Coturnix japonica: one gene and its partner. The protein of the gene in region 2 interacts with the protein of the main gene of each other region in a biochemical or structural test. Links are inferred from orthologs where the notes say so. Each region holds a gene or a part of one and is shown on either strand. Other genes may lie near its edges.

Region 1 (6,211 bases), on a different chromosome or scaffold from region 2:
AGGAGGACACATTGAGCTGGCTGTTCAAAACCGAGCAGGGACACAGAAGGGTTTTTACCTGTTGGACATTTTCCTGAAGGAGGTTCCCCAGTATCTCCACCAGGTCTGAGAAAGTTGGTCTCTCCTTGGGATCACCATGCCAGCAGCTCAGCATTATACGGTAACTGCCAAGGAGAGGTGATGGTTTTATGTCACAGAAATCCCTTTCTACTACACTCTACAGCTTTAACCCACGTGGTTTCTGCTGGAACAGAGTGTACCTGCGCTGTGAAGAAAACCTTGGTACCCAGCAAATTGAACATGGGCCCTGTGGACCTACTAGAAGGAGGTTCATTGTGTATTGAATACAACTGCAAGCTCAGACAGAGCCAATTTAGACACCTCAGCTACTCTCAAGAGTGGGAAAGCACATTATCCATCTGCAAAGTCATCCCAACGTGGTTCTGCACAAAATTTGGTGGCCATAGATCTGTCCTGCATTTGAACCCATCTGGAATACCCTCCAGGCAGCCACCAAGAGAGGAGAGGTTGTCTCTTCCCAATAGTGGATGAACAGTCTCTGCATCTGCCTGCCCTGCCCTGAATCCATGATGTTTCTGACTCACATTTCTGCAGTAGCATACTCTGGAGCTCTCATCCTGGTACCGTCTTTGAGCCTCTGGCAGAACTCCTCGTTGATCTGGACTCCAGGGTATGGAGATGCCCCTAAAAGAGGTTTGAAAAAGGGTGAGGAAGTGAGAAGATGAAGTGTGCCATCAGAAAACAATTCTTATCCTGAGACAAGGACTTCCTCCTAAAACACATGGGATGTGTGGTCACTTCTGATGCACAGCCCACATCAGTTCTGACCAAGACAGGTTCTTCTGCCTCAGTAAGGAAGAAGCTGCCCCCCATCACCCTGTTCCTTGGTGGATATGGCCTCTGTATTTCTTTTGCCCAGACTGACGTCTTTCCCATCACTCCTCAGACATGCTGCAGAGACAAGGGCCTCATGCACAGATTCATCCACCGAGCTGCTAGGTGGGACAAAAGCCCCTCCTGCCTCAGCAGCACGTGCCCCTCAGCACTCACCCAGTGAGAAGATTTCCCAGAGGAGGACCCCAAAGGACCAGACGTCACTCTGGGTAGTGTAAACCTTGTCAAAGATGCTCTCTGGAGCCATCCACTTCAGTGGGAGACGGGCCTGCAGGAAGGAGAGGCAATGCAGAACTGTTCATTCAAGAACCAGAGACAATAGCCCTGATCCTTCCTCCATGGAGGAGTGGAGGTTTGGTGAAGCCAGAAGGAGGGATGAAGACACTGGAAGAGTATAAAGATAGAGGAGTGCTGATGGGCTGAGCAGCAGAAGGAAGGAGACAAATCTGGTGGTGATGGAAGACTGCACCTCCATCATCAGGCCAATGGTTCCTGGTCCCAGCCACAAATGATTCCACTCCTGCCTTTTTCTATCTTCCTTAGTTTAGTCCATCCCCAAGATGGTACTCACACTGCCTTTTCTGACATAATCAGGGTCTTTGTAGATGTCTCGGGCCAAGCCAAAATCACAGATCTTGACCACATTGTTCTCAGACAGCAGGATGTTGCGAGCTGCTAGATCTCTGTGGATGCACTGAAGGCACATGAAGAGGAAGAAGCAAAATCAGAGGGACAGGAACTGCCATCATAAAGTGCAGAGCATTCCCTTCCCTTATTCTTCCCTTGCTAACCCGAGCTGTAATAGGAGAACTGGGGAGGTGAGAAGGAACTAAAAATAAAGATTTTTAAAGGAGATAAATAAGGGGTTGACAGAATGCAATACAGCCAAGTTCCCACCTTTGTATGTCTGTAACCCAGCTGTGTGCAGGGTTTTGTAGTAATAAATCATAAAATGATTTCACAAACTGGGACGTGAAACTGGAAACAGCCAGTCAAAGAGACTGGCTGTCCATGGGAACCTGTACATACATACACACATGATCTGTGATTACAACAGACCACACCAGGCCATCTCCAGTCAGGCATGCACAAAAGAAGAATAGAGGATGGGAAGGTGTGTGCTCACCTTTCTGGAGGAGAGGAACTCCATGCCACTTGCTACCTGGAAGCTGTAGCAGATCAGGTCCTCCATTGTCAAGGGACTTTGCCACAAGTCATCCACTGTCCAGGGGTACAAAAACATGGTTAGACATTGAGTTGTCTTGTGTCCCACTTGCTGCTCTCTAGAACTGCAGGATACATACAGCCCCAGGGTGAGATACTAGATAGTCCTGTATGGCTATAAGGGACTCTGAAGGTCAGATCATCATTCCTGCCAAGGGAGGACCCACTGAGAAACCCCTTCTGTTCATCTTTCTTTAAGCCAAAAAATAAATCTAAATTAATTTAACCATTCCTTTAGGGTTTCTGAAGTCCATTACAAGAGACAGGAGATTAATACAATAGCCCTGTTGAGGGAATTGCCACACAGCAGTGGAGAGATGAGCTCTGTGGATGGGTCCCTGCTGCCCACTGCCATGCTGTAGCCCATTCTCCAGTTTAAGCAAGTCTGTCATTTTCTTGGCAAGCCAGGTGAGGTATTACCTTCCTGGATTGGCTGTGCTGTCTGGCTCTTGTGCATCAGAAAGCGGTTGAAGAGAGCACTGTCACTAGTCCCAGACCGACTCCTTCTGTCTGCTCTCACTGCCTCCACAATGGACTGGACCTGAATACGCAGCCTGGGTGACTTCTCCTGGCAAGAAGATAAAAGCAAAAACCTCAGCAGGCAACACACACAGCATCCCCTGCACCCATGAGCTGCACAGTCATGTCCTGCTCTTAGACTGTAATTCTGGCCTGGAAGCATTTATCCTCCTCCGCAGAAAGAAATTTCTTCCCTGATGCTGCAGTGAACCAGCATCTCTGTGAAAAACTGACATACTGCCAGACAGAGGCTGTCTTTCCCTCATTGTTAGATTATGTTTCTGAATGCATGTCTTCCCCCCCTATCCATGGGGCAGTTCCTAGGGATAAAGGAGGTTACTTACCCTGTAGGGACTGAATCCTTCTCGCTTGGTCCGCAGGTAATTGGAGAGGTTGCCATACTTGCAGAACTCAACGATAACCATGAGTGGACCTAATGAGAGCAGGGGAAGAGACAAGGATCTGCAATAGCCACAATTTGCCCTGATTCACATTATATCAGCCTTGCTGAGCAGTGGCACCAGGGCTAGGCACACACACCCCCACGTATCCCCACAGTCACATATATGGCCAGAAGAAATGGCACAGGGGATGAGCAGTGATATCTGGGAGCAGGCTCAGCCTGTTGCCCTGTGATATTTACCATTGGGTTTGGTACAGGCTCCCAGCAAATTCACAACATTGAGATGATGCCCAATGTGAATGAGGATTTTCAGCTCTGACATCAGTGCCTTCTGTTCACTTGCAGTAGCTCCCTCTGGAAACAAACAAACCACATCACGGTGATGCCTCCTCACAGCTTTTTCTCTCCCCCTGCCACTCTCTCCTAGCACAGTGATAATGTCAGTCTTGTTGGAGATTGCAATCCCAAAGCCTTCCTACATTTTGTTACTGCTTATTTCCAAATTGAATAGCAGAGCCTTGTCTTTAATGCTGTAATGCAGGAGCAAGGATCCAAAGCAAGAACACAACCTGTGTCCAACACAATTTTCCTTCTGATAGCCGTGCAGAGAAAAAGATCACTTGAGGCTTACATACAGATGCACACGTTTGAATCTCTGCCCTTTTAGCCTCCAAGCAGGGATAATGAGCTGTAAAACCGTTTGAAGGGAAATTAGAAACAAAAAGGCTTTTGATCGTGACTGAAGGCAGGACTGCCTCAACTCCAACCTTTTGAGAAGGCCTTTTGATAATTCCTTTCCAATAGCAAGCACAGGGTTGTGCTCCTGCCAGCTCTCTGCTGCCTTTTCTCCCTGAGTGTTTAATTCACACCAATTCTTGCTCCTCTGTTTTACCCTCAAGGTTCATTCTCTGGTTTTATGTGCATTTTTTCATGCCTTCCTGTATACATTTTACTTGGGAGTTTGCACATTTAGTTTGACAAAGAGAGAAGCATCTTCCTGAGCTGCAGCTGAAGGGCCAGGTAAGAGTCATGCATCAAAGAGCTGTAAAACAGCCTCATACAGCCAGGCTTCCCTCTGCTACTGATCTGCAGATCGTCTGTACACCTGCAGTGTCAGTGCTGCTGAGCCACACCATGATTCAGTTTCTATATACAGGCCACTGCTGACCATGAACTGCCATAATGTTTTCTTGGTTACTGAATTACAGGATGATTACAAGGCAGGCTTTCCCTGTCATCCTTTGTATCCATGTGAACTGCATATTCTACGAGGCTGTCCTCATACCTTTCAGCATTTTGACTGCTACGGTCTCACAGCTGTTGCTTTTATTGATCCCAAAAGCAGATGCTTCCACCACCTTCCCAAAAGCACCGTGACCCAGGACTTTACCTATGAGCAAAGAGAGAGGCACCGTAAAGGAAAGCAGGTGCAGGATGGAGAATGAGGCTAAAAAACAACAACACAAAAAACCTTACAGGAAAACATGGAAAGAAGAAAGAAAAAGAGTCATAAAGGAAAAGGAAGGAGTGCAATATTTGCCCTTCCCAGGTGGCTGCTTGCTTTAGAGGTGAGAATAAGAGAAAGGATGAAGGGAGGAACTGAGAGCTGGCATGGACAAAGTGGAGGAAGGAAATGGTCCTAATGTGGTGAGAGGCTGTTTGTTGCCCTCAAACAGAACAAGTGGAAAAGGTAAATAAGACACCTTGCAGCAGAACAGACAGGGCTAATGTCACTGCTCTGTGTCTCAGAGGAGGTCTGCAGCCCTTACACCTCTCCCAGACAGAGGGAAGAGATTGCAGATGGATGTCACAGCACGAGGACATCCTATCCCAGTCCTGAACTCAGGATATCTCCTATGAATTGGGCTGTTTTGCCCTGATTGTGTAAGAAATCTGGAGGGTGAGTTCCAGGGGCTGGTGGGAAGCTCTGCATGCAGCACGTGGGGGCAGGGATGGGGTTCAGCTCACCCAGGCGCAGGCGGTCTCGTGGGAATTCCCACTTGCTGGCATCATAGGGCAGGCGCTCGCAGTGCTCATCTAAGGGCACTTCGTCAGGATCCATGATGATGGACAGGTAGCCGGTCTTGATGTCTGCATGGGCAGGCTGCAGGAATCACCCAACACAGTGCATGAGAAGATGCCTCCTTTGCCTCCTTCAACCCGCTTTCCCCTGGCAAAGGCTGTTCCATGTCCCCATCTTTACTACGTGCCCCATCCTTGGTTGACAGTCAGGGTGCTTGGAGCACTACTCAGCGACCTTCTTTCAGCAGACACTGTCACATAGCCCCACACCACAGCAATGGGGCTGCCCCAAGCCCATCTGAGCCCCCTCTTCTTCCCCAGAATGAAGACAACCACGTACCCTTTTGATGTTACAGAAGATGAGGATAAGGAGGATCCAGAAGAAAACAGCGATGACCCCAGTCCCAATCAGGATGACAATCTCCACGTTGGTCTTGTCATCAGAGCCTGTGGGGTGGGGGGAAAAGTGCAGTTTGAGAAAAGGCTTGGCTGTTTCTTGGGATCTGCTCCATGATGTGGGGAGACCAAGGAGCTGTGTGTTGACATGCTCCAATCAAATTATGCTCTGGACTACAGATGCTCTCAGTGCTTTCCCTGCCACCCTGCAGCCTGGCATCACAGGGAAGAGGCACGGGACCTCTGACACACCCCTACTTGGATGCTCTCATCCCTAGGGTGTGTTGTGTCTGCTGGTACCTTCTACAGAGACGCTAGCTGAGGAGTTCACGCAGCCCTTAGCGTTGCAGACGCTGCACAGGTAGAGCCCAGCATCCTCCTCCCTCACTCTCTGAATGCTCAGCCTCTGGTTGAAGTCTGCCAGATCAATTCCTGTAAGGCAAGGAAGGTTATGGAGGTCATTCAATAAGGAAAGGGGATTTAACTCGTTCAGGCAAAAAATAAGGCTTCTATTTTTTGGCCACTTCATTTTAGATGGCAGAATTAAATTGCACCAGCTCTCCTCTGTGGCTTATGGCTCCAGAACTACACTGGAAGGGCCTTCCTTAGGCAGTGTATGGAACAAAACCCGACAGACAAGGTTGGACTGGGAACAGTGCCTGGGTGCTCCAGCTGGTGTACCAAGCTCTGCTCTGCCTCCAGGACCTATTCCTTTCCCTCTGCCATATGCCT
Region 2 (5,779 bases):
TTCTGGACCGTGCTCTGAGCAAGGCTGGGCAGGGCTCGGCCGTGCTCTGTGGCTGCCTTGTCTCAGGGCTTTAAATATTCATGCTTTTCATTTCCTCTGAGCTGCTGGCAACCGCTTGCGAGGAGGAGAGAGCAGGGGCTGGAGAGCAAGCCGGAGGGGCAGCGGTTTGGGACTCGTTTATGGGGCAAAAGGGGCCATGCTGAGCCCCTGCTGAAGACAATGGGATTCGTCGTGGGTGCAGAGAGGGGCAGTGGGGCTTGAGGACCTCCCAGCTGTGTGCTGGGTGTGCTGAGACCCCCCCATCACCGGGTGCACCGGGAGCGGGGCTTGCTGCCCATCTATCCGGATCGCTGACGCTGGTTGCTATCGATCTGCTGGGACTGCGTGGAGCTGGTTCTCCTCGTGAGCCATGAGGGGCTGGAGGGTGCCTGGCATGGAGTTCAACCTTAACCTGTACATGGGGGAGGACTCCAGGAGGCTGTAGGCGCTCTATGGGGTTGCTGTGAGGGGTGGGCATGCTCCAGCCCTTCTCTCCTCTTTCCACAATGGATCTCCTGCAGAAGAGCAAATACAGCCACCTGCGGAACGAGTCTGTCTCCTCCCTGGAGGAGGCTGTGGGAGCCTTGGGGACCCCAGTGTCCCCTGTGGAATCCCTTGAAGGCATTCGGTCACTGCCTGGCTCGCTGTCATCCTCCTCCCTCAGCCCCATGCTGCCTCTCGGGGAGCTCTCATCCGAATCTGAGGACAGCCCCACCACCCTCTGCTCTTTCTTCCCTAAAATGGCCAACCTGAAGCTCTCCAACCCCGCCAACCTGCTCAGCCTACGGGGCTCATCGACCGGCAGCCTTAAAGATACTGGGAGCTCAGGGCAACCCGTCCTAACCGGGACGCTCACACCGACACCAGGGGGAACAGCCAGCACTAACTCAGTAGGACCTGTCACTGTCTGTTCCCAGGATATGAACAAGCTGAGCTGTGCGAAGAGGACGCGGGTGGAAGGCGGCCAGCTGGGTGGTGATGAATGGACCCGCCACGGCAGCTTTGTCAATAAGCCCACGCGGGGCTGGCTGCACCCAGATGATAAAGTCATGGGGCCTGGGGTCTCCTACCATGTCAGGGTGAGTGCTGGGGTGTCTCTATGGGGTGGGAGTGGGCTTTGGGGGGGGGCTCGTTGTGGGTGGAGGTGAACAGCACAGTGTGGGGACCTGTCCCCTCTTTGCTTATGGGCTGCCATGGGGAGGTGGGGGAGTCAAAGCGAGCCAAGCCCGATGCTGACCCTGCTCTCCTCCATAGTACATGGGCTGCGTAGAAGTCCTTCAGTCCATGAGGGCTTTGGATTTCAACACAAGGACTCAGGTCACCAGGTGAGCCCTGGGGTTGTGTTGGGGGCTTGGGGCTGCCCAGGGTGGGTGTGGAAGTGGAACCAGGCTGTCTGCAGCCATGGAGGAAACTGCCAGGAGATCGATGAGCCTGTCAATGAGCTCGGTCAGGCAGGAAGCACTCCTGCAGCTGCATCAAATATTAACAGCTCGCTCTTCCCCTGTCCCTGCCGGGTCTGGGAATCAGCCTGCACTGCCTGAGGGCTTCCCTTTTGTTCCATGCTTAACCCTGTCCCTTCTGCACTGCTCCTCGTGTCCTCTGCCCAGCGGTGCCCCATAAATATGGCATTGATAGCAGAGCTTTGTCCCTGTGCTGATGCAGGAGGGGACAACAGGGACCCCCAGGCTGACGCTTTGCTTTGCTCCATGCAGGGAGGCCATTGGCCTGGTGTGTGAGGCTGTACCTGGTGCCAAGGGAGCAGTGAGGAGGAGGAAGGTGAGGCTGGACTTGGGAAGCTGCTGATGGGAGCAATTTGAGGGCTGGATCTCAACCCAGCCAGCAGTGCTTAGGGGCTCTGATTGCCCCCATGGCTCAGCATGGAGTGGTGGTGGTGATGAGTTGCCTAATGCTGCTGTTCTCCCCCAGCCCTGTGGCCGCTCTCTGAACTCCATCCTGGGCAAGAGCAACCTGAAGTTCGCCGGCATGCCCATCACCCTGACCATCTCCACCAGCAGCCTCAACCTCATGGCCTCTGACTGTAAGCAGGTGAGAGAGGGAAGCTGCTGTGGGCTGCACTGCTGCCTTCAAACAAGCAGAGATCCATGCATCCCCTTCAGGCCCTGCTGGGGGTGTTCCCATTCTCCCTGGGGATGTGTGGTTTATCTGTGTTTCCTGCTGAGTGCTCATCTCCTGGTCCAGCATGTTCCACCCCATCCATTCCTGGTAGCAAAGGGATCTGAGCAATGCCCTGAATGCCTTGTGGGATCTGTGCTCTGGACCTTGAGACCCAAGTCCCTCAGCCTTGGATGTCTTTTAGTCTCAGTAGCTCTGCTGGTGTCTCAGCCCTTCCTCTGGTTGCCTATGGCTCATAACCAGGGCTCCTGAAGTTTGTTATCCCCACACTGGGCCAGTGCTAGGGTGGGCACTGAGGAGCTGCACCTAACAGTGCTTCTACCTTTCAGATCATTGCCAACCATCACATGCAGTCCATCTCCTTCGCTTCTGGGGGTGACCCGGTGAGTTACAGAGGTTCCCCAACCAGCACATCCTACCCTGTGCTGGGGATCAGAGCCTCTCCTGCCTTCTCCCCTAAGTCTTGGGCACTGAGCAGCCCTGGCTCATCACCACTCTCTCCCACAGGACACAGCTGAGTACGTCGCCTACGTTGCCAAAGACCCCGTCAACCAGAGAGGTGAGGCTGGAATTGCAAGAGCCCCATTTTGGGTGCAGCTCAGAGAGGGATTGGGTCCCTGCAGGGAATCTCTGGGGTGCACAGGGTGGGATCAGGGGGTGTAGGATTTAATCCTGCTCTCATCTCGCTGTTCCCTTCCCAGCCTGCCATATCCTGGAGTGCCCTGAGGGCTTGGCCCAGGATGTGATCAGCACAATTGGACAAGCCTTTGAGCTGCGCTTCAAGCAGTACCTAAAGAACCCCCCGAAGCTGGTGACACCCCACGACAGGTAAGAGAAGGGAGAGATGGGGGTCCATGAGGTCTATTGGTGCTGGGAGGGGATGCAGGCCTGGCTGCTGTCAGCTGTTCAGCTGTGTGTTGTTCCCTTCCAGGATGGCAGGGTTTGATGGTTCAGCCTGGGATGAGGAAGAGGAGGAGCCTGCCCCAGATCACCAGTACTACAACGACTTCCCTGGCAAGGAGCCTCCTATAGGGGGGGTCGTGGACATGCGGCTGCGGGATGGAGCTGCGCAGACCCCCAATCACCTGGGGGCCACACTGGTAAGGCGCTGAGCGTGTCTGCAAGGGGCTGCTGGGGAGGTTCTGCTATATAGGGGAGATGCAAGGACCCCAATGGGGCTGTGGGCTGCACAAAATCCACACCACGCTTCTGTCCAGCACCTCTGGCAGTCCATACTGGGGTTTGGGGAGGGGTAAGAGTACAGCAAGGTCTTTTGGTCTCACCATGTGCCTCTCTACAGCCTGTTGGCCAGACGTCTGGTGGGGAATTTGACCCCAGGAAGCAGCACGGTCCCGCTCAAGGTAATGTGATGGATGTGGCTGGTCCCCATAGGCTTTCCTGGTCCCAAAGTGCTCCAGCAATAAGTGCTGGTGCCGGAGCGCTGCTGACCACAGCGCTTTGTGCAGCAGGAAGAGAGAAATACCCACCTGCAGCGGGTGCGTCCGGCCGTACGGACCTATTTGATGACCCATCTTATGTGAACGTGCAGAACGTGGACAAGACACGCCAAGCAGCAGCTGCAGGCAGCCCTGCAACAGCCAACGGCAGCGCCCAGCGAGACCTCTTCGACATGAGTGAGTGGGGACAGCAGCTGCAGGCTGTGCACTCTGTGCTGGGTGTGTGATGGAGCCCCTTCCTTTTCTCCTGCAGAGCCATTTGAAGATGCCCTTCGTGCCCCCCAGTCTGTGCCCGTGACCGTTCCTCCTGCCCAAGTTGTGGCCTCCATGGAGGAGCAGCTGAGGAGGGAACCGTGGTATCACAGGAAGATGAACCGCAAAGAGGCTGAGAAACTGCTGAAGGTGAATGGAGATTTCCTGGTGAGGGACAGCATCACCACCCCGGGGCAGTACGTGCTGACCGGCCTGCAGGGTGGGCAGCCCAAGCACCTGCTGCTCGTCGACCCCGAAGGAGTGGTGAGTCTCTATAACCCCAAAGCTTGGGGGGCCCTACATCTCCCCACAACCCCACCTTGGGGACACCTCCGGGCTGGCTTAGGGGATGGAGGAGGCCTGGTAAAGCATAGAGGGGACTCCTGGGTGTATCTGCAGCCTCTTGAGTTCCCTATTCCCTGCAGGTCCGGACAAAAGATCATCGTTTTGAGAGCGTCAGCCACCTCATCAGCTACCATATGGACAATCACCTGCCCATCATCTCAGCTGGCAGCGAGATGTGCCTGCAGCAGCCAGTGGAAAGGAGACTGTGAGCTCCAGGGGGGCCTCGGTGCGCACCCCCCCACACCCCCCAGCCCTGCTTCCCACCCTGGGGAGCACCTGGACTCAGCCGGGGCTGAGCGTGGACTGCCTTGGGGATGGTCCTCACCCTCCCACCACCACCACACGAAGCTGGCAGCCCTGGGCTGCAGGCAGCGTGGTGTGAGCTGCCTGTGGGGCCGGGGGGCTGGTAGTGCCAAAGCCCCCTCCTCTCCTCCCAGCTCCAGCCTTTTGCTCAGCTCATACCAAATCCCGGCCCCATACGGTGTCAGCACTGGGGGGCACCAGCCCAGGGCCGGGTTCTGCTCCAGCCTGGTTGGAACTGGGGGTGGCCAGGCTTCATCCCATGAGCAGCACCAGCCCCGAGGGGTTGGGGTGGGGGGGATGGAGTGGGGGGGGCTCACCCAGGGCTGTGCCCTGCGCTCTGCTCCCCAAGCACAAACAAGGCCCGGCCGGCCGCGCACCGAATGTACCCGATCACTTTATGTGTAACTGTGCCTTGACCCCGCAGGTCCCACACATATATGCAATGCAGCCGGGCTGGGGTGGGGGGGCTGCCAGCTCCTTCATGCCCTCCAGGTCCTGCCAAGCCCCTTCTCGGGCACCTCCCTTAAAGCCGGAGCTGGCCGGGTCCCCACTGCATGCACCTCGACCCCCCCCCGAAGCCAAAGCGCAGCCCAGCCCCGGCCCCGCTATAACCAAAGGATCCGGCGGTTCGTATTAAAGTTGGTATTTCTTTACGATGCGGCTGCTGTGTTGGGGAAGGGGCGGGTTGAGAACCTAAGGGGGTGGCGGCCGGGACCCCTCCCCCCTGAGCCCCCTCCCCATGGTTCCTCCCTCCCCCCTGAGCCCCCCTAACGTGGTTTCTTCCTTCCTCCCCCCTGGTCCCGCCTCCCCCTGGTTCCTCCCCCTCGTCCAGAGCCCCCTCCCAAATGGTTTCTCCAGCCTGAGCCCTCCCTGCCCATGGTTTCCTCCCCCCAGAGCCCTCCTCCCTCGGTTCCTCCCCCCCCGACCCCCCCCCGACCCCCTTCATAGGTTCCTCCTACCCCCCTGACCCCGTCCCATTGGTTCCCTCCTCCCCCACCCCCAACTGTGGTTTTCTTTTCCTCCCTCCTCTCCTGAGACAGCCTCCCTATGGTTTTCCTCCCCCCTAAGACACTAACGTGGTTCTTCCCGCCCCCCCCCTCTAAAAGTGGTTTCTTCCTCTCTGCCCCCCGAGGCGCCTCCCATGTTCCTCCTCCACCCCTGAACCCCTCGGTGGGTTCATCCCCCTGAGCCCCTCCCCTGGTCCCTTCCCCCCCCCCGAGCCCCCTCCCATCTGGTTCTCCCTCCCCCCT

Evidence for each region. The genes of interacting proteins can lie anywhere in the genome.
Region 1: the proteins of SHC1 (region 2) and FLT4 form a complex in vitro, tested with the Homo sapiens proteins (2 studies listed by BioGRID). The link is inferred for Coturnix japonica from reciprocal best matches to the Homo sapiens genes SHC1 and FLT4.

The regions. Positions count from the first base shown.
Region 1 is NC_029528.1:4,692,604-4,698,814, forward strand, and holds part of FLT4 (vascular endothelial growth factor receptor 3), read right to left. Parts: intron 5,912-6,211; coding exon 5,780-5,911; intron 5,531-5,779; coding exon 5,424-5,530; intron 5,166-5,423; coding exon 5,030-5,165; intron 4,452-5,029; coding exon 4,347-4,451; intron 3,416-4,346; coding exon 3,302-3,415; intron 3,092-3,301; coding exon 3,003-3,091; intron 2,708-3,002; coding exon 2,560-2,707; intron 2,137-2,559; coding exon 2,042-2,136; intron 1,610-2,041; coding exon 1,487-1,609; intron 1,184-1,486; coding exon 1,072-1,183; intron 706-1,071; coding exon 606-705; intron 165-605; coding exon 59-164; intron 1-58. UniProt on the Homo sapiens protein: Tyrosine-protein kinase that acts as a cell-surface receptor for VEGFC and VEGFD, and plays an essential role in adult lymphangiogenesis and in the development of the vascular network and the cardiovascular system during embryonic development.
Region 2 is NC_029540.1:1,435,944-1,441,722, forward strand, and holds the end of SHC1 (SHC-transforming protein 1), read left to right. Parts: 5' UTR 1-515; coding exon 516-1,118; intron 1,119-1,293; coding exon 1,294-1,364; intron 1,365-1,751; coding exon 1,752-1,815; intron 1,816-1,965; coding exon 1,966-2,085; intron 2,086-2,501; coding exon 2,502-2,555; intron 2,556-2,679; coding exon 2,680-2,731; intron 2,732-2,873; coding exon 2,874-3,000; intron 3,001-3,103; coding exon 3,104-3,272; intron 3,273-3,472; coding exon 3,473-3,533; intron 3,534-3,638; coding exon 3,639-3,806; intron 3,807-3,882; coding exon 3,883-4,145; intron 4,146-4,306; coding exon 4,307-4,435; 3' UTR 4,436-5,182; downstream 5,183-5,779. UniProt on the Homo sapiens protein: Signaling adapter that couples activated growth factor receptors to signaling pathways. Participates in a signaling cascade initiated by activated KIT and KITLG/SCF.